Linked DNA regions of Arabidopsis thaliana. The main gene of each other region encodes a partner of the protein of the gene in region 4 in a complex. Each region holds a gene or a part of one and is shown on either strand. Other genes may lie near its edges.

The links.
Region 1: rps11 (region 4) and RPS17 share a complex: the UniProt entries of both Arabidopsis thaliana proteins name them as parts of the 30S ribosomal subunit.
Region 2: rps11 (region 4) and AT1G64510 share a complex: the UniProt entries of both Arabidopsis thaliana proteins name them as parts of the 30S ribosomal subunit.
Region 3: rps11 (region 4) and PSRP4 share a complex: the UniProt entries of both Arabidopsis thaliana proteins name them as parts of the 30S ribosomal subunit.

Annotation. Positions count from the first base shown.
Region 1 is NC_003070.9:30,037,570-30,045,780, forward strand, and holds RPS17 (ribosomal protein S17), read right to left. Parts: upstream 4,384-8,211; 5' UTR 4,354-4,383; coding exon 3,904-4,353; 3' UTR 3,674-3,903; downstream 1-3,673. Other genes in the region: GL2 (HD-ZIP IV family of homeobox-leucine zipper protein with lipid-binding START domain-containing protein), read left to right, coding at 1-34, 137-411, 1,048-1,165, 1,249-1,785, 1,875-1,979, 2,074-2,464, 2,548-2,819, 2,904-2,990 and 1 more; ROPGEF12 (RHO guanyl-nucleotide exchange factor 12), read right to left, coding at 4,603-5,265, 5,365-5,628, 5,735-5,809, 5,895-6,049, 6,133-6,523; AT1G79870 (D-isomer specific 2-hydroxyacid dehydrogenase family protein), read left to right, coding at 7,225-7,647, 7,764-8,211. UniProt on the Arabidopsis thaliana protein: One of the primary rRNA binding proteins, it binds specifically to the 5'-end of 16S ribosomal RNA. Required for optimal plastid performance in terms of photosynthesis and growth. Required for the translation of plastid mRNAs.
Region 2 is NC_003070.9:23,952,001-23,961,130, reverse strand, and holds AT1G64510 (Translation elongation factor EF1B/ribosomal protein S6 family protein), read left to right. Parts: upstream 1-4,826; 5' UTR 4,827-4,853; coding exon 4,854-5,306; intron 5,307-5,895; coding exon 5,896-6,138; 3' UTR 6,139-6,328; downstream 6,329-9,130. Other genes in the region: AT1G64530 (Plant regulator RWP-RK family protein), read right to left, coding at 1-107, 236-283, 375-934, 1,098-1,311; RPN12a (regulatory particle non-ATPase 12A), read right to left, coding at 3,011-3,151, 3,241-3,352, 3,448-3,711, 3,792-3,894, 4,189-4,267, 4,568-4,672; AT1G64500 (Glutaredoxin family protein), read right to left, coding at 6,755-7,861; AT1G64490 (DEK, chromatin associated protein), read right to left, coding at 8,591-8,965. UniProt on the Arabidopsis thaliana protein: Binds together with bS18 to 16S ribosomal RNA.
Region 3 is NC_003071.7:15,973,636-15,982,112, reverse strand, and holds PSRP4 (plastid-specific ribosomal protein 4), read right to left. Parts: upstream 1,266-8,477; 5' UTR 1,166-1,265; coding exon 1,009-1,165; intron 942-1,008; coding exon 877-941; intron 789-876; coding exon 654-788; 3' UTR 501-653; downstream 1-500. Other genes in the region: AT2G38150 (alpha 1,4-glycosyltransferase family protein), read left to right, coding at 1-413; ATMAK3 (Acyl-CoA N-acyltransferases (NAT) superfamily protein), read left to right, coding at 1,968-2,147, 2,247-2,367, 2,507-2,562, 3,259-3,474; AUX1 (Transmembrane amino acid transporter family protein), read right to left, coding at 5,321-5,554, 6,235-6,492, 6,579-6,786, 7,308-7,405, 7,684-7,867, 7,964-8,076, 8,165-8,350, 8,444-8,477.
Region 4 is NC_000932.1:78,460-82,267, forward strand, and holds rps11 (ribosomal protein S11), read right to left. Parts: upstream 918-3,808; coding exon 501-917; downstream 1-500. Other genes in the region: rpoA (RNA polymerase alpha subunit), read right to left, coding at 1-431; rpl36 (ribosomal protein L36), read right to left, coding at 1,030-1,143; rps8 (ribosomal protein S8), read right to left, coding at 1,609-2,013; rpl14 (ribosomal protein L14), read right to left, coding at 2,237-2,605.

The DNA.
Region 1 (8,211 bases), on a different chromosome or scaffold from region 4:
CTTTTTCTCCTCTCCAGCCCTCTCTCTATCTCTCGTATACTACTCTCTCTTTTCTACATACATGTACTTGCTAGCTCTCACATAAACATATATTATATATATGTCTTGATTTTAATGGAGATAGGAATATATACAGGCTGGGATATTCCGGAATGCATCCTCCGGCAGCACCAACCCTGAGGAGGATTTCCTGGGCAGAAGAGTAGTTGACGATGAGGATCGCACTGTGGAGATGAGCAGCGAGAACTCAGGACCCACGAGATCCAGATCAGAGGAGGATTTGGAGGGTGAGGATCACGACGATGAGGAGGAGGAAGAGGAGGACGGCGCAGCTGGAAACAAGGGCACTAATAAGAGAAAGAGGAAGAAGTATCATCGTCACACCACCGATCAGATCAGACACATGGAAGCGTACGTTCGATATAATTATTCCATCCTTACCTAGCTAACTAATTAAACCCCCCACCCCACTTTTTAATAAGTATAAACTTAATAATTATGCTTCACAAATTAAAACACTTAATTAGGGGATTCCGATTCATTAGGGCTAGCTTCTATCAAGAAACATTCATTAGTTGTTTTTTCCGGTGCTCATATTTCTTGATGTTTTATAAGTAATTATGATTTTAATCCCTTTCTTCGGTATATACTGTAGTACTTAATTAGTGGAAGAAGGAGAAGGTGTCTTGCGTTGAAGAGCAATTCTCAATTACGCACCTTCAATTCTCCATTAATTTCACATACATATATATACTTAGATGATGTATTCATACAAATATATTGCCGATCGATGATATATGATCCAGCATTAGTTTCAATGCGCTTATATGGTTTCGGACGCTTACTCGTTATTATTCCCCGTCTTCTCCTGACATGACTGTAGGTACATGCGCGTTATAACGTATATAAAGGCTTAAACAATAAAGTGTTAATTTGTTTCATCACAATTAAAGCTGATCAGTAATAGTATACATATGCCTAGTTAGGGTTCAGTTGCATGTAAAGATTTTCATCTTTTAGAAATGTCTGAATTTGAGGACGTTGCAGGCTATTCAAAGAGACACCACATCCGGACGAGAAGCAAAGACAGCAGCTGAGCAAGCAACTAGGGCTGGCCCCTCGCCAGGTCAAGTTCTGGTTCCAAAACCGCCGCACACAGATCAAGGTAATGTATATCTTACGTGATATGGATTTTTGTCTGACTATAGTAGTATATATATAGTTTATGAATCAATCATGCATGGACAGGCTATTCAAGAACGGCACGAGAACTCCCTGCTCAAGGCGGAACTAGAGAAGCTGCGAGAGGAAAACAAAGCCATGAGGGAGTCTTTTTCCAAGGCTAATTCCTCCTGCCCCAACTGCGGAGGAGGCCCCGATGATCTCCACCTCGAAAACTCCAAACTGAAAGCCGAGCTCGATAAGCTTCGTGCAGCTCTTGGACGCACTCCCTATCCCCTGCAGGCTTCATGCTCCGACGATCAAGAACACCGTCTCGGCTCTCTCGATTTCTACACGGGCGTCTTTGCCCTCGAGAAGTCCCGTATTGCCGAGATTTCTAACCGAGCCACCCTTGAACTCCAGAAGATGGCCACCTCAGGCGAACCTATGTGGCTCCGCAGCGTTGAGACTGGCCGTGAGATTCTCAACTACGATGAGTACCTCAAGGAGTTTCCCCAAGCGCAAGCCTCTTCGTTTCCTGGAAGGAAAACCATCGAAGCATCTAGAGATGCGGGGATTGTGTTTATGGACGCACATAAACTTGCCCAGAGTTTCATGGACGTGGTACTTTTCCATTATTTATTACTGTTACCAGCTACTATAACTTATTCTATGTGTATAAAAAGGAATTGATGTGTACGTGTAACGCGCAGGGACAATGGAAAGAGACATTTGCATGCTTGATCTCAAAGGCTGCAACGGTCGATGTTATCCGGCAAGGCGAAGGGCCTTCACGGATCGACGGGGCTATTCAGCTGGTGAGTACTCATCAATATATACATATAGTGATAATTGATGAATGACGACTCAGCTGATACATGGGATGGATATGGTTTATAACTATTGTGGCAGATGTTCGGAGAGATGCAGCTGCTCACTCCGGTCGTCCCCACAAGAGAAGTGTACTTCGTGAGAAGCTGCCGGCAGCTGAGCCCTGAGAAATGGGCAATAGTGGACGTCTCGGTCTCCGTGGAGGACAGCAACACGGAGAAGGAGGCTTCTCTTCTGAAATGTCGAAAACTCCCCTCCGGTTGCATCATCGAGGACACCTCCAACGGTCACTCCAAGGTCACCTGGGTGGAGCACCTCGACGTGTCTGCATCCACAGTTCAGCCTCTCTTCCGCTCCTTAGTCAACACCGGTTTGGCCTTTGGGGCTCGACACTGGGTCGCCACCCTTCAGCTCCATTGCGAACGCCTTGTCTTCTTCATGGCTACCAACGTCCCCACCAAAGACTCTCTCGGTCCGTCTATATATCCGGATCCTCCATTTACACTCTCTATCTTTCTTTATATATAACCTTTTCACTCCTCTGTTGATAATCAGGAGTTACAACTCTTGCCGGGAGAAAGAGTGTGCTGAAGATGGCTCAGAGAATGACACAAAGCTTCTACCGCGCCATTGCTGCATCAAGCTACCATCAATGGACCAAAATCACCACCAAAACTGGACAAGACATGCGGGTTTCTTCCAGGAAGAACCTTCATGATCCTGGCGAGCCCACGGGAGTCATTGTCTGCGCTTCTTCTTCGCTGTGGTTACCTGTTTCTCCAGCTCTTCTCTTCGATTTCTTTAGAGATGAAGCTCGTCGGCATGAGGTACCTTGTCAAATTCACACACATTTAAGCAAACAAGAAAAGCGGTTTCCACTCATATATTTATCTAACGATACATATCATCAGTGGGATGCTTTGTCAAACGGAGCTCATGTTCAGTCTATTGCAAACTTATCCAAGGGACAAGACAGAGGCAACTCAGTGGCAATCCAGGTGCGTTTATTTTGTCTTCTCCTCCTCTAAATCTGTCTAGGCCTTGATAATCTGAATTTCTATACATTTCCAGACAGTGAAATCGAGAGAAAAGAGCATATGGGTGCTGCAAGACAGCAGCACTAACTCGTATGAGTCGGTGGTGGTATACGCTCCCGTAGATATAAACACGACACAGCTGGTGCTCGCGGGACATGATCCAAGCAACATCCAAATCCTCCCCTCTGGATTCTCAATCATACCTGATGGAGTAGAGTCACGGCCACTGGTAATAACGTCTACACAAGACGACAGAAACAGCCAAGGAGGGTCGCTCCTGACACTCGCCCTCCAAACCCTCATCAACCCTTCTCCTGCAGCAAAGCTGAATATGGAGTCTGTGGAATCCGTGACAAACCTCGTCTCAGTCACACTACACAACATTAAGAGAAGTCTACAAATCGAAGATTGCTGATGACAAGTCACAGCAGATATTATTTACCTATATATAATTATATGATAATGTATAGCAGCAGTGCATTAAAGTTTTGTACAAAAACGACCAGCTCTCTCTTCTCCAATCCTATTATTATCCAACACCTTTTTGGTCCATTCCATTGGCAAATGAACCATAACAAGAGGAGCAAGAACCGTAGAATTAGCAGAAACAAAAGTCGGATCACTGAGACCACAAGCACACAGTAGCAACAGAAACATATTAATTCACATTCTAAATGTAACTGGAGGTGAAGATGAAGTAAGAGCAAACAATTGGTAGTCGGAAACAATCAGATTGAAAACACACTCATGGCATAAGCAATGAAATCACAAAAGCATTCCATAAATTACACTGGTTCCGGGATACACAACAAACAAACAGAAGCAGAGCAAAAAAAAGACGGCTTTACCAAAAGAAACAAAGAGCAATCATTCTCTACGCCGGCTGCTGAGACTCCAAGGGAAGGCCAAGGAGTTCATCTCCTCCGGCTTCGGCTTTCCTGGCGGCCCTTGCGATGACAGGAAGCGCCACAAATGATTTAGTCTTACTGATGGGTCTGCTCTTTTCCAGTCTGACCACGTCGCCAACCTTGAACTGATTATCGGGGTCGTGAGCTTGGTACTTCTTCTTCATCCTCACGCGCCTCTTGTACTTGGGGTGGGGAGCCAGCCTCACCACCTCCACCGCCACAGTCTTGTCACTGGTTGCGCACACCACGCGCCCCTGCATCGTTTTCATGGCTCTGATGACCGGAACTAAAGCGGGCATTCTGTGGTTCGGGAAGGAATTGGGCTTAGAGAGAGATGAGAGAGGAGTGGAGCCATGGGCGAACGGAGACGAAAGCTTGAGAGCTTGCAGAGATGAGGTTAGGGACGACGTTATCATCCTTCCGATTTGGAATCGAATCGATGAAAATGAAGATAAGGTGAGTACTACTACTATTTAGAAGGGATGTATACAGTATACAGATGGTAAATGGGTTTTACAATAAACTGGGCCTAATCTTAAAAGCCCACCTTTTCATAAAAAGGAATTTACAAAAGCCCTTTTGTAAAGTTTTTGAATCCTAAAAATAATTAAATAATCAATAAATCTGTCTTCGCTCTTTTTTGCGCCTAATTTTCCACACAAATATCAATGCCGTGCCGTTGGACTCTTGACACCGCCTAGGGTTTCGAGGTATGAGGTCTTCTTGGTCGTGACGACGCTTAGCTTCTCCTTTATCAACGGATCATCCGGTAGATCCTTCTTCGACTCCAATTCGGCGTTCGCGGCCTGATCGAAGTCCCATCCCATGAAATCCGACAGCGTCATGCTCCCAACCAGCGTCTCTTCCTCTGCTTCCAATGGCGTGTTCCTCTTGTTCCCCGCTCGATCTGCCTCTAAAACGTCATCGATTCTGGAAAGTACCGTGTAGGCCAAGCTTTCCAGTATTCTCGAGTAGCTCTCCAGCACCGCCTGGCCCACGTCCTCGTTGAACTGGATTTTGCTGATGTCGAGTGAAGATTGAGAAATCCCGGGGTATCTTTGCTTGAGAATGAGCAAAATGGTCTCAGCTCGCTCTTCGAAGACCTCTCGCTTCTCCAGACTTACTCCGGAGGCCCAGGGTGCCGATGATTTGTTGTCTTTATAAACCATTTTGCGTTTCCATATAATGATTGATGCCTCGATTCTGTTTTTGAGGTCCACGATCTTGTGCTCCGACGACATGTCCATGCTGCTCAGGAACTGGTCCGGGTCAAAGAAGTCCACCGTTATATTCTTGTACATCTGATCCCCGAGACTCGCCCTCCCGTTCTGTTTATTTATTTATTACAAACTAAACAAGTGAGTATTATTCTTCATCAACTCTTCTAATCAATAACATCAATTGTTGGTGTCTTTTTTTTTTTTTACCTTTGGGAGAGAGTCGATGTAGCTCTCAGGTATCTCCATCTCGAACAAAACCTGTGCGTTTATGGCCATGGCTGCCTTTAGAACCTGGTTTACACAATCTTTCTGGTACTGCAAAAACCTTCTTGAAGCTTCTGATAGACCATCTGGTGGAACTTTGACGGTCGGAATCCACCATTTTTCGTCGTTTCTCTTACCGTCTAAGTCAGGGGAGTCTTTTGAGATATAGCTGAACTCGCTTTGGTCCTTGAAATTTTCTAGACAATCCTAGGTAGAAAAGGGGGATAAGAGGATGCTTTTGAATATCCTAAATGAAATTATTAAAGTAGGGTTGATATTTGGTCAACGAGAGAGAGAGAGAGAGAGGTCTTACGATGAGCATGGCGTCCAGTTTCTTCAATGCGGGGATATTCATGTGGAGGTCAGTACGTTGGCGTGTGGTCATTATCTGTTAAATCAATACCAACAGAATAAGGGAATCATTGTATGTTACCAAATGAAATATAATGCAGCAGCAGCAGCAGATAGACAACCTCCATATTGGTCCCATCTTTATTTTTCTGCTGAGATGGAGCAAACTCAACCACGTAATCGGTCACGGAGAGAAGCCAATCAATCTCTTTTCTCCATCTTGCTCTTCTTTCTGCAGGCATTGGCTCCAAGCGCCGTTGCTCTCCGAACACGGAAGCTATACCAACAAGATAAACATGAGATATTGGTTGCTGGTTAATATAAACTAAGTGTAATAACAAAAGAGGGTCCTAAAGCAACCTGCAAGGTTTGTGATTGCGTTTGAAAGGGCGAGAGCAGAGGATACTCCTTTGCCTCCACCGGAATTGTCCTCTCCCAGCAACAGCTTGGAGAAGCGCTCTTTCATCTGCTCCATGTCTGCCAAAAGCTGCCTTTCTCTAGCCTGTGAGGCGGCGAGGGCGGCGAGGACTGCTTCATCCGCAGCCGATCTTGAAAGTGGTGGACCCTGACTAGGATGAATAATGGTCAATGGTTCAGCGTCATGGGATCCGGTGGCAGCCTCATCTAAACCGGTCTCGACGCTGAGACTCTTGTTGTGTCTCGTAGCACTATTGTTGTCGTTGTTCCTCCATTTGAAATTGAAGAGCCTGCTCCTATAGGTTTCCTGTTCTTGTTCCGAAGCACGAACCATTCCTGGTCTCTTGATGGCAATAGAGAATTAGAGAGGAGAGAGAGAGAAAGAGAGAGGATCAAATGGGCCTCTCTTGAGATGGGGAGAATCAAAAGGGAAGGAGAAGCTAATCGAGCCGCAAAACAATAAAGGGTAATTGTTACAGTGATTTTGGCTTTGAGAAAATTGTGGAGCTTTCTTCTTTTGCTTCCTTTTTTTGGAAGATGGGACGTGGGGCGCATGTTTCAGACCACACCTCTTAATTTTAACTAATCATTATTTAGGATTTTGAACATTGATAATTAGAGATAGAGAGCCGTTTAAATTATAAAATGTTATCATATAGTAACATACTAAAATGTGATTACACCCTTGTCACTGGATTCCCTAAACATGCAATGTCAACGGGGAATCTGCTACGTTTCCATACACATACAGTGTATGTCTTCTTGTGTTTGTATCATGTTCATGAATCCTACAACAATTTGCATGAATATCATCAAACGTGCAATGTTGTCTTTAAACATAAGTCATGATTTCGGAACCAAGAGGAAAACTTGAAAAGGGTCATTTAGTGGCCCATAAAAAGCGGATAATATCAATTATGGGCCCAAAAATAGGCCCATCTTTATCGTCAACCTCCGATAAATTATACACAGACCTCTCACTGACTCAATCATTTGCAGAAGAAAAATAAAAAAAAAAAACAGAGAAAAGGAGATATGGAATCAATCGGAGTCCTTATGATGTGCCCCATGTCCTCCTACCTCGAGAACGAGCTTGAGAAGCGCTTCAACCTTCTTCGCTTCTGGACTTCTCCGGAGAAATCCGTCCTCCTAGAAACTCATCGGAACTCCATCCGCGCCGTCGTTGGGAATGCTTCTGCCGGCGCCGATGCTCAGCTCATCAGCGATCTGCCCAACCTTGAGATTGTATCCAGCTTCAGCGTCGGGCTCGACAAGATCGATTTGGGGAAATGCAAAGAAAAAGGGATCCGCGTCACCAACACCCCCGACGTTCTCACCGAAGACGTCGCAGATCTCGCCATCGGGCTTATCCTGGCTCTCCTTCGACGGCTGTGTGAGTGCGATCGCTATGTAAGGAGCGGAAAATGGAAGCAAGGTGAATTCCAACTCACTACCAAGGTTTCTACTTCTTACCCACTATTGATTGATTGGAAAAGAGCTCTCTGCCCTATCTTATCTTTGGTCTTCTATCTCTGCTTTAGCGTCACATTCTTTCTTTCTTTTGGTTGACTCAGTTTAGTGGAAAATCCGTGGGGATCATTGGTCTAGGTAGAATTGGGACTGCCATCGCAAAGAGGGCTGAAGCCTTTAGCTGCCCAATCAATTACTACTCAAGAACCATTAAGCCTGATGTCGCCTACAAGTATTATCCGACGGTGGTTGACCTTGCTCAAAACTCAGACATCCTCGTCGTCGCATGCCCGTTGACCGAGCAGACCAGACACATTGTGGACCGGCAGGTCATGGATGCATTAGGAGCTAAGGGCGTCCTCATAAACATTGGCCGTGGACCACATGTTGATGAGCAAGAGCTTATTAAAGCTCTAACAGAAGGCCGCCTAGGTGGGGCTGCCCTTGATGTGTTTGAGCAGGAGCCTCACGTGCCCGAGGAGCTCTTTGGCCTTGAGAATGTAGTTCTCCTCCCTCACGTTGGGAGTGGCACTGTGGAAACACGGAATGCCA
Region 2 (9,130 bases), on a different chromosome or scaffold from region 4:
CTGCAAGGGACCCATGTCTGGGCTAAAGGCAGTTTGTAGGTCTCGCACACCACTGTCAGTATCTCCAAAATCTCAGCTAACGCATTTTGGCGACCCTCGTTGCAGATCTGGTATAGGAGAAGTCAAAAAGAAATGGAGTCAAAACGAGAAGGAACAGCACTAAATGAACTCAAGACAGTTCTTGAAAGTTTCTGAAAGAATACTCGAGATTTTTGACATTGGACTCGCAGATAACCTGAGTAGTCTCGTGGTTCAATATTTCCGAAGTTTTCAGATTCACGGCCTGCAACACAAGAGAAAACAACAATGTCACGGGAAGATCAAAGGAAACTGATAAAGAACCCTAAAAAAAGAAGGAGAAAACAAGGGCAAACCTCAAGCGCTTTACAAACTTTTTCAACCTCAGGAGCATAGTTAATCTTCGGAGAAGTCATAATAAGCTCGACAACTCCTACACAGAGTTGCCTGGATGGTTCAAAAACAGGCAAAGCCAAAGTTCCCTGAACATTATAGTGCAAGGCGTGACCAAGCCTTGAAAACTCTTTGCTGGAGTAATACTGCACATTAGGAGTCCACTCAGGTAACTTTTTCCTGAAAACGCGACCAGGAAGCCCGAGCTCTCCGTCCCGTTCACCATCAAGGGAAAACATATACGTCAATGAAACCATCCTGTATTGATTAAGGCCATTACTATTGGGACCAAGAACAAATGGCTGTCCTGAAGTTGTAAGAACATATCGACCACGGTTTTTGACAGGCGCCCAAACCTGAGCAAGAACATGTTGTTGTCCAGTAGATTCCTTGAAGTATCTAAGCGCTTGAGTCATCTTGGCTTTGATGGCACAGTAACTATCTGGATTCTCCAAAGGCATTATACCCCATGACGGAGAAGGAACCTGATTATTCTCCTTGGTCGTGGTTTCAGATTCAGAACCTGCATTTCATTTGATTCTATAAATTCCAGATCTAAATTCTACTAATCCGTGAAGTTCCAATAAGATTCCAATGAAGGAGAATATTACTATCCAGAGATTGAAGCATATTCACTACATTATCTGAATTGGATTCTAGAATCTAAACTTTGCATGAAGACTTACTAGCGAGTAAGACGGAATAATCGGTGAAGCGAGTGGGAGCTACTGCGGCGGAGTAAAGCTCGCCGCCGACATCTCCAGAAGTTTCGGAGAAGGACCAGAGAGGAGAGAAAGGTTGTTCGGAGGAAGAGAAAATGACAGGAGACTTGAAATTTGAAGCAAAAGTGATCTGATCTAACGGCCAAGAACCGCTGAGATCCAAGTCGTCAAGTTCCATCAACAGCAGCAGCAAAGACGTAAGACGAGACAAAAACTCGTCAGAGTAAGTGTTAATATCTCCGGAAGTTTCGCCGGAGCTCCTTTTGAAGCAAAAAAAAACTCTTCTGATTCAGCTTCTTCAACAGAAAGAGAGAGAGAAGAAATAAGAGGAGAAGACAAGTTGTAATATTATTTAAATTGGGATTTAAATCTTTTTGAGATAAAATAATTTGATTTTGTTGAAGACATTTGATTCCACGCTGTACCATTTTACCCCAACCACTAGAATATCTCCCATTTCATGCAAATTCTTTATTCTTTGTATTATTTTCTTTAATATTTTTATGAGACAAAAGGCATCGAAATTTTGTTTTTCTATTAATACTAACAAACTTGAATATTAGAACATTGGCCAAAAAAAAAAACTGTATTGATATTGATTGACCATCTCTAGAATATTGGCTTTGACAAAATTCGATATACATAAAACATAAAGGTGTGAATAAATACTATTAGACTATTTGAATAATCGTTTTTAAATGCTGTGATACGATTCTATTTTATTCCAAATGCATTGTTTCTGCCAGAGGCGAATATATGGTAAAGGTTTGTTTTTATCACATTTCAAAAAACGAATTGATTATGTTATATAGAGTAGATCTTTAGACGTTTCTTACACGTCCACCACCATGAACAAAGTTGTCATAGCATATTTTATGCGCCTAAAAGCTTTAAAAAATATTAAATTAAGACGTAATTAGGCACTAAGTGCGTGTTGTGGGTGAGTAGAATAACAACGACTACTATAATTTATTCAATAATAATGATGTTCTTAGCAAATAATTATGATAAACAATGCAATAATTGACGACAATGAAAAAAACGAATCTCGCTTTGGGAGATGAATAAAAAAGCGAGGACATCTAATCGTGATTATTCTTACTCAGCCATTTTCAACTACTTACCCAAAGTGGATCCTTACTTAAGCCCTTTTGCAATACATAAAATTTTTATTAACAGTAACTTGTTTTCCTAGTGGGGACATCTAATCGTGATTATTCTTTCTTTTAATGTTATAATAACTTCCCTAATTTGTTATTTAGCTGTTAATCAATATTTTAACCCCAAGGAGAAGAAATGCTTGCAACGTAAATCCCCACTTGTTTCAAGTTGATGAGTGTTTGGCAATTGACAATTGTGTGTCCCTTGTTCTGTAATGACAATCCTTCCTTCCTTCTTCCATATTTGGACTAGGTTGTTCATCAAAGGAAGGAAGGCCCCGGCTACACTACGTTAGAGGCTCTCCAAATCTGTCCTTTTCATCCACAACTAAACCAAACCCAAATTCAAATAACCAAACTGAACTAAAACATTCCACCGCAAACCAAACCGAAATTGAGTATCCCGGACCACGGTAACTCTGAATTCCAAACTATACCTAGTTTTGAACACCCCTAGAATTATGGACATCATGTTCAAGCAAAGCATCAAAGTGAGGAGGACAGAGTCTCCAATTGAAAACGAGTGAACACTAAACAATAGAATATAACGTAAAAGGATATGGAAAAACAGATTGATATCACAACAAAGTCTCATTGACCCGGAGAAAATACTGAGTCGCTCAATATCGGTCATTACATGATAACAAAGTTTTCTGACCCAGAGATTTCCAGGAACATAACAGAAGAGAAGAGACAAGCAGTGAGAAAAGTCGAATCTTACACGATACGCTCCAGCTCTCTGGCGTAGCTTAGAGTCTGGTTGATGAGTTGCAGAGACGGAATCTCTTTGCACGGTGCAGTTTCTTTGGCTTTCTGGAAGACAACAAACCCTTCCTTCACTTCCCACTCAGGATGCTCCTATAAGATTTGATAAAACCTAAATCGCGTCAATGGTTCATGAAACTAAAAAAGATTCTAAACTTTGCACAAAATGTTTTTTCTCTTACATCTGTGACATAGGTTAAGAGTTCTTGATCAGAAGAGAACAACAACATCTGCCGGGCATCGCTGATAGAGACATAATCATAAGCTTTCTCGCTGCATCCAGCTATTTCATCTCTGTGAATTCAGTCATAACAATAAAAAGGTGAGATAACACGCGAGAAGACATAAGACTGAACTAATTCAGAGAAGGACAGACTCATTGATGCTACCTTATGGTCTTTGCCAAGAGATCCATGAAATAGACGTAAGTTGCATCAGGCGCGGTCTGTCTAGCACTCAACACACGGTTATAGGCACCCTCCATGAAGGATTGCTCAAGCTCTACTGCATGCTTGATGCAAGGATCCTCTAGTGTAGCTGATGAAAGTAATTCAAGCTCGGTGTGGAATTCAGCAATTCTATTTTGTACCAGCAGCCTCAGAAGGTTAAGACCCAGGATAAGATTCTCCTGTGGAGACTGAGGAATACGGTTCCTGGTGCAGAGGAAAAGAAGATATGTTAGACCAAAAGAAAATGAAAAAGATAATGTTCAGACAGTTGGTTCTTTCTTTACCTGGCATCCACATAGTAAGGTTTCAGCTGGAAGAAATCTCTCTCAAAAGCATCTTGATCCTCGGTTTTGACGCTTAGAACAACAGCATGCTCATAAATGTCCCCTAGAATACACCAATTGTCAAAGTTTTAGAAACGGATAATCAATAAGAACAAAAATTACCAATAACTCAATCCAAACCAATGCAGCATTCAACGATTAATGTATACATATAGGGATAGACAGACAAACTAAAGCAGTACAATCCCTCAGACACTCTTCAGTGGTATTTAAGTATAGTTAACAAATAACTCATGAGAATAGACAAATCCAAAACACTCCATGCAATTGAAAGCAAAACTCTAAACTTACTAGCAAATAGCTCATGTAAAACCAATAATGAAAAAGAGAAACTTACTTGCAATAGTCAATTCCTTGGCTGCATTAGGTGAATTCTCGAACAATGGAGGAAGACTTGTGAATTTGGTAAGAAGAACCTGAAGAACACAACAAAACCCCAGCGACATCAGAGACTCGCACCAGTAAATTGTAAATCTAAACCAATCCCAACAATCCCTTAAAGTAGAAAGTTAAAAATTTCATAGCACTTAGCTCTTCTAAAAGATCCTTAACACACTTATATGCTAAAAATTCTCACTTCAATAAATCAAAGCTCTCATAGATTTAAACTCTCGCGACATAACCCATCAATTTTCCCAAAGTTGGTTCAATAAGCAGATATGCAAAGAAGTGAATTGAAACAAATTAGGGTTCAAAGAAGAGAGAGAGATGTAGACCTTAAGCTGAGACAACAGATCGCTACAGGTATTGTAATCCTTCCTCGCAAACGCCGCCTTGAATCTCTCGAACTGCTGTGAAACTTCAGTTAGCTGCGGATCCATCGCTTCTATGGTTTTTTCTCTTCACCGGCGACGATTCTTTTCTTATAGATTTGATTGCTCCGAGAACTGGCTTGATCGCGAAGACAAATAATACAGATAGAAATAATTGTCTTTACAAAACGGGCCTTTAACAGGCCCAATAACCTAAAAAGGCCCATGGTGTACAATAGAATTCTGACTAATGTGTACCATCATCATCTCTTATCCAAATTTTACTCTCTCATCTCCTCTTTGCTTTCACAATCTCACAACAATGGCGTCTTCGCTGTGTGTATCAAATTCCACAATTTGCCCTCTGCCTAATGTATCTTCGCAGCCGCTGCTATCATTCTCCCACTCTCTCAGGCCATTCATTTCCAAGTCGAAACCTATGTGTGCCTCGATACAGAAGAGAGATGGCTCTCAATTTGTGGTGAAATCTCAGGCTCTTGACTTCTCTGGAACTTTCTTTGAAGGTGGATTCGGGTCGGATGATGACCCGACTTCTCCTTCCGGGTCGGGAGTCTCAACTGCCCTTGAAGACAAACCGGAACCTCAGTGCCCACCTGGGCTCAGGCAGTACGAAACAATGGCGGTTTTGAGACCAGACATGTCTGAAGATGAACGGCTTGGTCTTACCCAGAAATACGAAGAGGTAAGTAAAAGTCTCCAACTTTACCTGTTTTCTGTTTCATGTCAGAGGGAAATTTGATTATTTGAGAGAGAAAGAGATTTTAGGATTCAATTAGAAGTTGAGTAAGAGATCACTAAAAGTTGTATCTTGTGTCTGTTCTTACACGTTAATGACAAAGCAAGAGAAAATGGTTTCAATGTAGAGTTGTGTAACTTGCAGCTATCAATTGAATGTTTGTGACGACTCCTTGTTAAAATTGAAGTAAAGAGTTTAACTTTCTAAGAGCAAATCTCATCCTTCTGTGGGCTGTGAATTCTTTAAGTCTCAACCATTTGAAACAAGATAGGAGCCCTTAGTGCACTTCTTAGTTTTTTAGTCATGTTTTACCATAACATTTTAACTCAATTCTTGAAATGTCCTTTGATGCTCGAAACGAGCTAATACACAGTTATCATTTGTGGTTTACGCGTGGGTTCTTTTACGCTATATCACATGTTTAATCTAATGAGGAATTCTGAAATTTATGTTCGGAGTAGTGGAAGTTTTTAGTTGGTGCAGACTCTGAAAGATTCATTATGTTGCTGGGATTTCTTTTTGGTGTGTGTGGCAGTTGCTTGTGGCAGGAGGTGGAATGTATGTGGAAGTGTTTAACAGAGGAGTGATTCCGTTGGCTTACAGCATAAGAAAGAAGAACAAAGCTGGAGAAACCAACACTTACTTGGATGGAATCTACCTTCTCTTCACTTACTTCACCAAACCCGAATCAATAGTTCCACTCGAGACCGTTCTCACTGCCGACGATGACATTATCCGATCATCTTCCTTCAAGATAAAGAAGAGGAAGTACAACTGAAGACCATGAACATTGTGTATGTGAGAAAAATGTCAGATTCTTTTTTTGTTTCTTTGTAAGAACAAAAGTAAATCTATCTTTTTTGTATCTTTTTTTGTGCATTGCTCTGCTTTCTTATGTAACTGTGAGAAACTCTTAAAGCTAAGTTTGAGAAGCATACTTGTATGCATTTTCATTAAAAGATTTTAACTAACACTAACTTGCCATAGTTACTATAATGATGGAATTCATATTACTCTGTTTCATAGCACAAAATCCTCAACGGATGCATAACAATCAAACAAAATAGCAACAAAGAACAAATTTGTAAAGTATTCAGGCAGAAGTGACTTTGTTTGCCAGCTTTTACCTTCTGACGATCCAAACTTAAATTAGTGAGATTGTTGAACTCCTTTACGTAATTGATCAAAACCATCAACATATACGAGTGAGAGACCTTGCAAGCTTAGCATTATAATGGTTCACGTTCATGCTTTAACATTTTATGAAAATCCTAGCATAGTTTCAAATCATTTTCAATTCCACAAAATCAAACGTGTCACATACATATAACAAAACAAACGGGACAAAGTATATTTGACACACCTCTATTTGCTTGTGTAAACTAATAATGTTCTTAATTAACAAAACACACGGGACAACGAATCAATCCATTCTCATTACACTTGACACACCTCTCCCACCTTTCACCTTTGGCCGCCCCAACCGCCGCCACCTTACAGCTTCCGCCGCACTCGAAACAAGGCAACCACCTCGCTCCTCCGCACCCTTCACACGTGAGCCTCCCTTCCTCCCCTACTCTCTCCACACGTGCCCACCGCAACACCCTCCCTAACTTCCCGTTCTCATTCATCGCTGTCACTTCCGCTGCTCCTCCCAAGTACCTCCCTTTCACAAACACTCGCGGCGGCGCCACTGATGCTTCGTCTTGGAGAAGCTCCTTAAGCTCGCTCAAGACTCCGGCGTCTAAAGACACGTCCCTCTCGTCCACCACAACTCCTTGCTGCTCCATGATGGCCCTCACACGCATACAATCCTCGTACGTGCGACGCACTCCTTGCAACGACGTCGTGTAGACAATCAAACCTTCCCCTCCTCCCGGCGGACACTTCTCCGGGAACTCCCTAAGTGGGTCCCAGTTCATCACCGGCTTCTTGTTCCCTTCTTTCTCCCTCCGTTCTCTGTCTCTCTTGACGAATATGTTCTCCTTCACTGACCGAGGCCCCGAGTAGGACGACTGAGTGGACTCGGTTCGATCATCTGACTCGGGTCTTAGCTTGGACATCGACTCGGTTCTCTTAAGCTTAACCATTGTCGTCGGGATTTGCGCGGCGATGCTTCTTTTGGCCCTCACTTCAAGCTCGTCCAGTGTGTGGAACGATGCGCTCTTCCGCGGAAGCCGCCGTGGAGGAGTCGCCGGAGGTTTAACAGAGTCTACTTCCGGCGGTTTAACGGCGGCAGGTTTAAGTTTAGTTTCTAGAGATTTGCTGACTTCTTCCCATGTTTTAGGAGCGTCATCACCATCATCATCATCATCATCATCATCCTCGTCGAGACGGTCGAAGACGGTGGAGCGTGGCGGTTTCTCATCATCTTCATGTTCAAATTTTAGCCATGGCTCTTGGATGGCGTTGACATCAAACACCGCGAAACTAGACGGCGGTGGTTTGTAAACGTCGGCGACGACGTTAGCTTTTGCTTGCTTGGAAGATGTACACCCCATTTTAATAACTCTTCAAATTTTGTTCAGTTTTCTTTGTATATGTTTTTGTGTTTACTATATGAAGAAAACAAGAAAATGATGGGTAGCATTTTGTGTGGTCTAAGAGCATTCTCTTATCTAAATATTTTTTGCATCAATTTGTATCCTTCCTAGAATAATGCTTAGTATACAATTGTGGATTTATTCGAGTCCATGAATATTTGTGAAACGATCATAATAAGAATTAGAATGACGACCACCACAAAGTGTGCTTGTGGCTTCAGTGTAATCTACGTGGTGAGTCAATCATATTCTTGACAATTCAATCTTCTAATTGTCGTCTCTCCTAAATGCAAATATGTCAAACTCTACCGAAGAAAGATATGCAAATGTCATTATCATTTGAAGGGTCGATACAAAAATAATGCATTTCATAACACAAAGAGAATATATAGCATTGGAAAAAGAGGTTTCATTTTGATATACTTGAATCTTTTGAGTATCACAATTTCACCAAAACCAAGTTTTTCTTTGGCAAATTAAATGTCCTAATGAATTAGACAATCATCAATTTTTTAAGTAACAAAACATATAACTATTGATGGAGCATGTTACAGAGTCTGATACACTTTGACTTGAAGTGTAGTATCAATGGCTAAAACACTAATTTCAACTAAAGACATCATTCATCGTTGAAATTACACAAAAACCTGAGCAAAGATGAAATTTATCTGAGATGATAAAATTTACCTAAGCAGGTGATGACTCTTCTTCTTCCACCTTCTTCTTTGCCTTCTTCTTCTTTTTCTTCTTCGTAGTCGTCTTCGTGGCATTCTCGGTTACTTCTCCATCAACATCTTCTACAATCTGAGTATGAAGCTTTCCCATCTCAGTATCGATTGTCATAATCGCCTTCTCGATGAAACTATCGACGGCTTCTCTGACGATGATTTTGTACGGATCTCGCGAAAGATCGAGATTCAACTCAGATGAAGCTTCTTCTCGGGCCTTAATCTCTGTAATCTCAAGTAAACTCGACCGTTTCAGGATCTTCTTCACCGTTTCCTTGATCTTCTTCTTCAGATCATTGTCGATCACCACTTGTCTCGCTTCTTCTTCCTCCATTGATTTTGATGTTGAAGACGGCTAAAGATCGACCAAGCCTAAGAAAAACACACTTGAGGGTTTCAAAGAGAAAATTCAAAATCTCTGTTGTGAATGGGCCGACAAATGGGCCGACAGTTTGTCTTAATAGATATCATGTTTTAGTTCTCAGAAGAAATGATAGCT
Region 3 (8,477 bases), on a different chromosome or scaffold from region 4:
ACAACGCAGTGATGGTCTTTGACATCTACCATCCGCTAATGCGAGAATTCTTGCAAGAGTATGCCACAACTTTCGACGGAAACAAATGGGGATACAACAGCCCTTACCTAGTCTCTAGAGTTATCAAGAGATTAGGAAACAAACCTGGATACAACAATCTCACAATCTTTTCTCCCGATGCTTTCTATCCAGTAAACTGGATCAAAATCCAAAAGCTTTTCAAGAAACCTGCAACCACAAGAGAAGCAAAATGGGTAGAGAAGACAGTACAGGACATGAACAAAGGGAGTTACATGATACATCTGTGGAACAAAGTCACAAGGAAGATTAAGATTGAAGAAGGAAGTGTAATGCACACTCTCGTCTCCACTCACTGCACAGTCTGCGGAAACATCACAAACTCTCACATTTAAAGATCCAAACAGAGACAGATGATTCATCCATCTGATCTATCTAAGTATATAGATTCTCGTTCTTAGTTTGCTTTACTTTTTCAATGTAAAAGACTCAATGATTCATAAAGAAGCAAACTTTTCATAAAAAGATGAGAACTTTGGAGATGTTTTTAACAACAAAAGAGTCGTAGCATCAAAGCTTTTCAAAAAACAAATTAAAATTACAGTGAGAGACAACAAGTGAAGAATCTCATATTTCTAATTAGAGAAGAGAGACTCGTCGATATCGATTTTGATCTTCTCGTCGTTCTCAAACTTATCTTTCCTCGGTGGTGCTGGAGGAACCGGTACTCTCTCCGGTCCTCTTCCTTTGCTCTTGTTTCTTGGCCTCGCCTGCTTACATAAACCCCAAATTCAAAACCAAAATTGCGAATTTGCAAAGTAAAATTACGAAATCGGAAAGAGAAATTTGATTACTTACATTCCCAAAAGAGTGATTGAAACGCTTTCCTTTAGCTGTTTTCCGGTCACCTCTGCCACAGTACACTGCGAACACCGGAAAAGTTACGCCATTGACGAATTAAGAGAGAGTTAGATAAGAGAGGGAGATTACCGAGTGGAATTGAGCTGGATGAGGAAGTGGAGAGAGAGAATTGATGAGTGAAGCAAGAGAGAGAGACACCGGCAGTTTCAGAGTGAGAAGATGATAACCGTGAGGAAGGTAATGCGACGGTGACTCGCGGAGGAGCTCCGAGTATAAGCGACGCCATCGCCGTGTGCTGTTTTCGAATTTGTTCGAAGAAGAAGATCCAGAAGAAGATAAGGCAGTGAGAGTAGAAAAACGATTTTAGGATAGGCTTTTAATTATCTTTTCATATTTGGGCTTTAATTTCAATTGGGCTTATTTTAAAGCCCAAATATATCTAAACCCTACACATGCTTGTCACGTGTGTAATCGACCTTGTTCTTGTTCTTGTTCTTGTTCTTGTTCTTCTTCGTCTTCTCTTCGGAGCTTTTTTCTTCAGATATCACCCAGATCGTAACTTTTGATCTTCGAATTTCACAAAGCTCAAACTTTTGGTAAGTATTCTTATCATCTCATTGATCTTGGGTTTCTAAAAAGTTTCAATTTTTATAATCACATCTCTTTCTAAATCTCTCATTACTTGGTATTTAAAATCTGTGTGTGTTTTTTTCATTCTTATGCTTCACAGGATTCTTTACTAATCCTATTGTCACATAACATCGGTAAGCTCTCTTTTTTCTGAACTCTCAAATCTTCTATAGCTCGCTTTAGCCAAAGTCGTTTGCTTTAGTAGAGTGTTATAGATTCTGCTTCAGCTGTTTATTTGAGGCTTTGAGCAATCTGAGTTTGTTATGAAAACATTGAACTTTCAATTCTGAAACAATCACTCAACTTCGATTCACAGAAAATGATTTATATTCTCTAACTTTGCATTATGTGTTTCATCACTTCCTATAGGAACAAGATCATCAATGTATAAACAACTGATCAGAAGTTCATATTTCTCTTTGTAAGTATACAATTCGGGATCTTGATCACTTCTTGCAATGGAGAAAGAGATGGAAGATAAAGAAGAATTCGATGAGGGTGAGATTGAGTACACGAGTTATGCTGGTGAGCATCATCTGCCATTGATTATGTCTCTTGTTGACCAAGAACTTAGTGAACCTTACTCCATCTTTACTTACCGGTACTTCGTCTACCTCTGGCCGCAGCTATGCTTCCTGGTATTTTGACACTCAGCTTTCGATTATCGTTGCTTTACCCTCATGATACTTATGTTTTGATGGATTTATGAGTAGCATTTGTTTTGTTTCTTTTAATAGGCCTTTCACAAAGGTAAATGCGTAGGAACCATAGTCTGTAAGATGGGGGATCATCGACAGACTTTCAGAGGGTACATCGCTATGTTGGTTGTGATTAAACCATATCGTGGCCGAGGCATAGGTAATACTTGAGCTAGTGCTTCCTAACTTCTTACAGAATCAGATTTTGACTGTGGGAGTAGTGTTTGATCTACTGCAAATACATGCCTCTCTTAAGGTTCGATAATTTTGTGTGCTGACTTGTCATTGTTTTTTTACAGCCTCAGAGCTTGTCACAAGAGCGATAAAAGCGATGATGGAATCAGGCTGTGAAGAGGTATGCTGTTCTTGCATTCTCACTTCTCTCTTTATTCCCACTTTGGAGAACTTAGATATTTGGTAGCACTAGAGTGATATCCTTTCCTGGTAGTATAAATGTAGATAAGACCTTATGAACCACCTTTTCCGGAAGGTTATAAGTCCATTACATGTCCTGAAATAGTGCCTCCTTTTTATCTACTAGAATAGAATTTCATAGCTGAGGTGATGTAGCTGCCTTTAATCATTGCAAGTATACCTATTGCTTTTGATTGTTTAGCTAACTGTGTGTGTAAGTTTAGTTCCACGTATAAAAGTAGTTAATCATACTCCTAAGAGTTGGAACTTTTCGATATTCGTTTAGTTACTAATTTTGTAGTGGAAATCAAAATCCCAGTCTCTCACTTAGTATACATATGTTGTATAAGTCTTGTATGTAGTCCATGACTCTTTATAGTCACACGCATTGGAATGTAACTGATAGTAATATAAAATAAGAAATCCCTGTCTCCCACTTACTAATTGCGTATTCGACGAATCATTTTCTGTTGTATGTGTGATCTCTTAACTGTAATCTCAGTAGTAAATAGATTGGAAAAAGAACCTCGTGATTGGCATTTGCTCTTCAAGTTCCTCATAATCAAGCCTGATTACAACATGAGAGTATGGTTGTCTGGTTATGCAATCTAATTAATGTAAAGATGTATGGCTGAAGGTAACTCTGGAGGCAGAAGTGAGTAACAAAGGAGCATTAGCACTATATGGGCGACTCGGGTTTATAAGAGCCAAACGGCTATACCACTATTACTTGAATGGGATGGATGCTTTTCGCCTGAAGCTCTTGTTCCCTAAGCCTCGTGTACCTCAAATACCTTCTCAAGTTCAAACCCAACAAGAGTATGAGACCTTTCCTAGGCCTCGTGTACCTTAAGGCCATGAACGAAGATGTGTGTTTCTTCAATGTATTCTAAATCCTGAACATGCTAAGACTATGTTCTCTTTCGTATGAAGAAATATTATGTGTTGGTACAATTCTAGTCCCATGTTTATGAAGTATTCTCGACTGGAGTAAGCGATTAATCTGGACGTTTCAACGGTCTTGTGTGTCTACAGAAACAATTTAGCATATTCATATCACTTTGTGGTGTGCGTATATACGTTTTTAAGGTCTCTCAAACTTGGTTGATGATTGGAAACAAAGATCTAAATGTTGTTACAAATTCATATAACCACTTAACTTAACCTAATCGTCTCAGGCTACTCCTGACTTCGAGTTAAGTGGATGATATAGAAATCGAGATGTGAAGTGATTTTCAGCCATCAAAATTTTCAAACAGCTCTATATACCTCAAAAGAAATCCAAGATGACAAAAAATTGATTTAAGGCCAAAGGAGAGAAAGATGCCAGTCAAATGTTATGAAAAGACATGCTTGAATAATTGGTATGAGATATTTTATGAAATACTTTTATTGCATACCGTATTTTACTATAAAACAATTTTCTTTTCACAAACACAACCATCTTAGATTTATCCATGTTAGCCGAGATTTTTTTTGTATCCAGATAGTCCACTTTACAAAAAAAAAAAAGTCTAATATAAAGAAGAAGAAAAGCCTCAAATGTAGTTGCAAAACTCACATGGCCTAAATCAGAACAAATTAAAGACGATTCACCACTCGCCACATAATAGTTTATTGACAATTTGAACCCACTCGTTACCAAGGGTCACTAACCAAACGTTACCAAGGGTCCTACTCCATATCGCATAATATGACTCACATTCACTTCTTCTTTTCTCTTTAACGATTTTATGCTATTAGAAGAAACATTTTTGCAAAGTTCTTTTTTATTTTGACCCCCAACAAAAAAAAAGTCAGATGGAAAGTACAAGAATCGGACTCTGGATTCAAACGAGAATATTAGTTAATAATTTTACATATATAGTTATAATCTTTGGGGGCAAAGTACATGTGAAAGCAGAGCATATGATAAGGGGTAAACGATTGAGTACGAATGGAACGAACACATGCCATATTTAATATGAGGGACAGGAACGGTCCTCTGATCCATTCTTTTGATCAGAGAGAAGATGAAGAGTGTCAAGTAAATAATGGCACGTGACTCGGACGAAGTATCCACGTGCGTCCTCTCCCCACACCCATGTGGCCCATAGGATATATGACCGGCTCCGTCGGTCCAACTTGTCCATGTTCCCCTATTTAATTTTTAAACACACCCTGCCGTTAAATCAAATTTTCCAAATAAATTAAAGTGTTATTTCAAAATTTTAATGTAAACTTAGTAGTATTGTCGCTGTGCTATGATCAAAACTGTATAATTAAAAGATCTAATAGGATCCTAAAGAATTATCTAGTATCGGAAGATATTGTTCATGGTAAAATAGTTTATATAAGTCTAATTAGGATAAATGTATAAGATAAGAATTGTTTTTTGTTACTAAAGACAAGTAAAAGGAGAGAAGACGATACATTTTCTTAGCCTATTGTTTTAACAATACCAAATTAAGAAATCACACACTACATATTATCGACTATTCAATTTTAAAAAAAAAACTAAGGAGTGAAAACAAAAATACAAAACCCCAAAAGAGAAAAAAATAATTAAGAGCTTAGCACGCATTTAAAGGGGTGTGTAAAAAGTACACTATTTTCGTGACTTTTACTCCCTTCACGTATACGAACACAAAACACAAAAGAAGAACAAATAATTTTAAGAACCCTCCACAAACGCATTAGAAGAACCCTGACTCGATCTCTCAAAGACGGTGGTGTAAAGCGGAGACCGGGGCATGTGCGGCGGCTGCAGCTGGTTTACATTGGTAACACTTGGCAAAGAGACCAAAAGTGTCGACTTGACGAACAAAGTTGGTTACACTAGCCCATCCACCGAACCCAAATCCGACTATAAGAACCCAAACCACCACGAAAGCATTCAACACGTACATCGCCGTCCAGCTCGGCATAAAGAACGGTGGCTTCTCCGCCGCATTCTACAAGAAAGATCCAAAACACAAAAATAATCAGAGAACCATTAAAGAAATAGAGAGTGTGTAAGTGTTTTAGAGTTTTGGTCGTATAGTAATGGACAAAATCCAAAGCTTTGTTGACCCATGAGATAGAGAGAGAGAGAGAGAGATATGATTGTGATTTGTCATACTCAGACTCTCACTTTAGATTAATGTTAGGCATAGAGTCCCTATTGTACAGCTCCTTTTCATTTCTGATTATGACTCTTACCTATTCCTCTCCCCTATTTTCCTCTACTTTTATCTTACGTAAATTTAATATACACTGTTTTGAAAGAGAGAAAGAAAAAGAAGTCATGGTCAATTACTAATACTAACCTAACCGGATATTGTATTTTTTCTTCTAAATGTAACCAAATAAAGAAATGGCTGAAACCAACTCAATAATATATTATTTGGAGGGGACGCCAGTAAGGAATGTGGGTGATGATCCTATCTTCCGTAAGATACGGAACACTGAACCCCATCTATCTTCCACAAAAGACGTTTTTGCCCTCCAATTTCACAACCCTACCCCCCAACTATAATATTCCTCCACCGACTCTTCATTTCATTTCTAAAAAATTATTGGTAACTCAATGTATTTTAGGTTAAGTTCGAGTTTTGAAACGCTAAAAGAGAGTGAGCTAGTAAAGATGTTATACCTGACGAGCGGAGGCAGATCGGTAAGTGAGCATGTGAGCGAGAGATGGGATGATATAGACGGTGAAGCTAACAAGAAGAGCACCGACAGCGGAATTGATTGGACCGAAAAAGGGGAAGATAATAGCTAAGAACCAAATAGGTATGACCACAGGCAATCTAGCCAAAGCCCTTAAGCAAATGCTCTTTGTGTCATGCATCCCAATCACTTTCTCCCACACAAAGTACAAAGGTGTACAAGCGAACCCGAACGTTATAAACTGCACGAACAAGAACACGTTGCATTAATCTCTCATGATCAAAATTTACTTAAAAAAGAAAGAACAAAAATGTTGTATGTGTATACCTGATGAATGAGCATGAGGATAACAGCGGCGTCACGCCACGCGTTCTTGGGCATAAGAGAGAAAGCGTTGGAGTGGTCGAGAAGTGCGTCTCCGAAAGCCCAGTAAACGGCGGCAGCTGACGGAATCGTTAGCGTGAACACGTATAACGTCGCCATCAAGTAAATGTACTTAAACTTCTGTGGTTTCCACATAGCATGCATAATCTCACTGCAAATTAGAAATTACTGTTAATATTCATAATTTCATCCAAAACTTTAACTATGTAAAAGATTGGATTCACAACAATCATTGACGCATAAAAAGGGTGTATTTGACATTTCGCAAAAGCGTACTATTCCTACTAGTAGTAGTAGTGCTTTGGTAGCAATAGTGTTTGTTATTCTTTATAGGGATAGGAATAATAATGGTTATTCTATTTTATATTTAAAAAGAGCTTATTTTATTAGTACTACTATTTTAAGGATTGCTAAAAATAATAATGACAATCATGATGACTGTAATAATAGTTACACCTTATTTGCCGGCAAAAGCTGCAATAGAAGCGGCGAAGAAACGATACAGCAGCACCCATAATTTAATAATATGGCACCATTTTAATTTACCATATACTTTTTCTGCCATTTAGCTTTAACTTAAATAGTAATTCAACTATGTCTGACAAAATTTATTGATCTTTTATTAGATACAAAATTAATAATCATTAAGAAATCAAAAGAAGAGTAACTTACACAGTAACCGCGTGACCTCCAAAGGTGTACAAAATATTTGTGGCTCCCGTAAAATAAAGCACTAGCTTTGTTGGACCTGAATGTTTCACACCTTCCGCCTAAAATAAACAACAAAAAAAAAATTTGATTAGGAGAATATTAAACAGCTAATTTTGTCTAAGTTATATTATACATACACTTTTTAATACAAATTTGGGTTAAGATGCAAAGAATAATCCCTGATCTTAAAGAGAAAATACGAATTTTTTTTATTCTTCTTTTTAATTAAGGCATATACTGTCACCTCAATGCAAAGCATATAAATATGAAAACGACAGTGTAGTGATCTTTATAATGTGATGAAATATATTTTTGGTGAAATATATTAAAACATTACCTGGCCGTGGATGATGGAGGCAATGGCTAAGTACCAAGCGGTGTAAGTGGTCATTCCAAGGCCAAGGAATGACCAAATTCGGTAATTGTGAAACGACGGTATAAAGACAGTGGTTGCACAACACGCGCCAAATATGTAAGTCCATGTTCTCTTGTCCAGATGATCGTTTATGTAATAAATGTTACTGCAAGTAAACACCAATCATATTTCAATTATCCTCCATTCTTAATCATTAAAGAGTGATTAAAAAGATAAAGAGAATGATTAAAAGATAACAGACCTGGCACAAGCAATGAGTTGGATAACAGATCCAAACAAGAGGAAAGTGCAATTAAATGCGAGTCCTAGTGCTTTCCAGTATGAACCAAGTAATCCATCAAGTACTTCAAACCACTGTTGAGATTTTTAAAAGTGTTAGATTAGTGAAAGATAATTATGATTTAGTGATTCTGATTAGAGAGAGAGGGTTTAAAGAGGGGACCTGAATGACGTGGTTTTTGAAGCTTTTGCCTTCTTTTTCTTTACGAGCTCTGTATTCGACGTAGAGAACAGAGATGAGATAAGCAGTCCAGCTTCCTAGTAAACCATAGAAGATCTGAAGTACTATTCCTGATAACATTCCTAGTTGACTAAACGAGTACGGTAATGTCAATAACACTTGAGCCACCTGAAACCAACGATAATTACTACAAATCAGATCTTTCTTCACTATGAGAAATCCGAAATTTTGAATCTTTAGTTTATGGTTTTATTGGTTTACTTGGTTAGATGCGCAGCTGAACCAAGCGTCCCAG
Region 4 (3,808 bases):
TCTATTGGTTCTGTTAAGGTAGCTATATGCTGTGTATTATCAATGATTTCCACAGCGGGCGGTAAAATAATGTCTCGAGCAGTTATATATCCAGGACCTTGGACACAAATAAGCGCGTTGCGCGTTCCATATAGATTACTTCTTAATACAATCTCGTTCAAATTCATTAAAATTTCATGTACTGATTCTTGAATACCTGCTATGTTAGAATAGTCATGTGGTATGTTCTCAGATTTTGCACGTGTAATACATGTTCCTTCTATTTCGCCAAGTAAAGCTCTTCGCATCGCAATGCCTATTGTGTCGGCTTGGCCTTTCATAAGTGGAGACAGAATAAAGCGTCCATAATAAAGACGCTTACTGTCTCTTTTTGATTCAACACACTTCCACTGTAGTGTCCGAGTAGATACTTTGACTTTCTCTCGAACCATAGTAATTTTATTTGATCAGATCGTTGAATCGTTTATTTCTCTTGAAACCCTTTTAGCCTTTTTTTAGTTCTATACACGTCTTTTTTTAGGGGGTCTACAACCATTATGTGGCATAGGGGTTACATCTCGTACGAAACTTAAAAGTATACCGCTTCTACGAATAGCTCGTAATGCCGCATCTCTTCCGAGTCCAGGGCCTTTTATCCTTACTTCAGCTCGTTGCATACCTTGATCCACTACTGCTCGAATAGCATTTCCTGCTGCGGTTTGGGCAGCAAAGGGTGTTCCTCTTCTTGTACCCCGGAATCCACAAGTACCTGCGGAGGACCAAGAAATCACCCGACCCCGTACATCTGTAACGGTTACAATGGTATTGTTGAAACTTGCTTGAACATGAATAACTCCCTTTGGTATTCTACGTACATTTTTACGTGAACCACTACGTGTATTTTTACGCGAACCAATTCTTAATATAGGTTTTGCCATTTTTTTTCATTTCACAAGAAATATATGGATATATCCATTTCAGGTCAAAATAGACCCTTTTTTCCAACTCTTTGGAAGTGCCTTTTCTTTTACTTTAGTTCCTTTAGTAAGATTATCCTTGTCTTTGTTTATGCCTCGGGTTGGAACAAATTACTATAATTCGTCCCCTCCTGCGGATTAGTCGACACTTTTCACAAATTTTACGAACGGAAGCCCTTATTTTCATAGTTGTTATTCCTTAATTCTGTGAATATATTTATTGGTGGACGAAAAAAAGGTTTCTTGATATTTTTGAATCTTGAATTGTATCTTCGTGAAAGGAATGGTTGAAATTGAAAAAACACTTACTCATTTGAATACTTATTATGGAGTCTAGAAAATGGCTGTCCCCTTATTAACTTATACTTAAGAACTTACTCAAAATTTTACCTTTTTATCCTATAGGTATACCTATACAAAAATATGTCGAATCCTTTCAGAAGCATGAACGAAAAAAAATCTTTAGTATCTAAACAAAATCGAACCATGCCGTTCGGAAGTGATTAAGAAAGAAAACTTTTATTAATTCATTTTTTCTTTAATTTCATTCGAAGTAAAACATCCGAAACTTTTTTGAACAGGGGTGGTATTACACAACCCCCTTTTTTCACAAATTGTAAGTTACAGATATCTAATTTTTATATTAGAAGGATTACCATATATAACACAAAATTTCTCCGCCGATTCTTTTTAGTCGAGCTTCTCGGTCTGTCATTATACCTTGAGAAGTCGAAAGGATTACAATTCCTATTCCGCCTAAAATTCGTGGAATTCGTTGAGAGTTAGAATAGATTCGTAGACCCGGTCGACTTATTCTCTTTAAATTTAAAATCGTTTTGTAGGATTCTTTCTTATTTCGTCTATGTCTTAGGGTTAAAATCAAAAAATATTGGTTGTTTTCGCGATGTTTCCTTACGTTTTCGATAAAACCCTCTCGTAAAAGGATTTTAACAATACTTTCCGTGATGTTAGTCGATCCTATCCGAACCGTTCCTTTTCTATTCATGTCAGCATTTCGTATAGAGGTTATTATATCAGCAATGGTGTCTTTCCCCATGATAAGTTAAAATTCCTTATTGTTCTATAATTTTGATATAATCAACATGTTCTTTTTCTTTTATTTATATATAGATATAGACGAATTATATATTAATATATGAATTAAATTCTTAATATTTTATTATTAAGGGTATATGCGTGATACAGAATCTATTAATTAATTTTATTTCAATACCTGTTTTTTTAATCCGATACTAACTATCGCTATCGATATTTAGATCTTATAATACCTCAGGAGCTAATGAAACTATTTTAGTAAAGTTTAATTGTCTCAATTCCCGTGGGATCGCCCCAAAAACTCGAGTTCCTTTTGGATTTCCTTCTTGATCAATGACAACTGCGGCATTGTCATCATATCGTATTATCGTCCCATTGTTACGTTTGAGTTCTTTACAAGTACGTACAATTACAGCTCTAATCACTTCTGATCTTTCTAGAGGAGTATTTGGTATTGCTTCTTTGATTACAGCAACAATAACGTCACCAATATGAGCATATCGGCGATTACTAGCTCCTATTATTCGAATACACATCAATTCTCTAGCCCCGCTGTTGTCTGCTACATTCAAATAGGTTTGTGGTTGAATCATATCATTTTTTTTGTATCTCTTCTTTTAATGCAAAGGACGAAGTAAAAAAATATTGTTTGTCAAAAAAAGAAAACTTATAATCTTTTTACCCTTAAATGTTATTTAGTTTTTTCATTATATATTCCTATTCAGAAATAATGAATTGGGTTTTTATAGGCATTTTTGATGCCGCTATTGAAATAGCTTTTCTTGCTATATTTTCGGGTACACCACCCATTTCATAAAGGATTTTACCTGGTTTAACCACAGCTACCCAATACTCAGGGGATCCTTTCCCAGAACCCATACGCGTTTCCGCAGGTCTTACTGTAACTGGTTTGTCTGGAAATATACGTACCCAAATTTTTCCACCACGTCGTACATTTCGTGTCATTGCGCGTCGCCCTGCTTCTATTTGTCTAGATGTGATCCAAGCGGGTTCAAGTGTTTGAAGAGCATATCTGCCAAAACAAATACGATTCCCACGAGAAGATATTCCTTTTAGTCTTCCTCGATGTTGTTTACGAAATCTGGTTCTTTTTGGGTTATAGTTGATGGTTCTAAATTAGAAATTCCATCTCTACTACAGAACTGAACGTGAGAGTTTCTTCTCATCCAGCTCCTCGCGAATAAAAGGACTAAAAAAGCTTGTATTAAGATATAGTTAATGATTAATTCTATTAATCATGATATTCAATTTCATCTGATCTCTTCTAAATTTGTGTATGTCTTTTTCGAAATGGAATCCAAGATTAATTCTATTTATTTAAAAATAACGTAACGTAATATCATCATCTCGAATGTCGTTTTTGTTAGAATATTCTAACAAATCCTTATTTTCTTTTATCTTTTTAATTTTTGTTTTTTATTACTTTTATTAAAAAAAAAGTATTCGCCGGCGAATATTTACTCTTTCAATATCTATATTAAGTTTGTTGTTTATCCCAGGAGATCTCTGAATAAAAATAAGAATAGATAATAATCTGGTTTATTCCGCCATCCTGTCCAATGAATTACTAAGATTTATTTTTCAATAGAATCCTCTATATTCATGGGTTCCGTCGTTCCCATCGCTTCTTGATTAATCATTAGGCCCGAATTCTACAATGGAGCTCTTATATGAAATCGGGAATTTCATTTTTTTTATTTGTTTTTGAGTCAATTTTCTTAGTTTTTATTGGCTCAAGGCTCTTAATTTTTTTTGTTTTCGGAACAGATTTATCT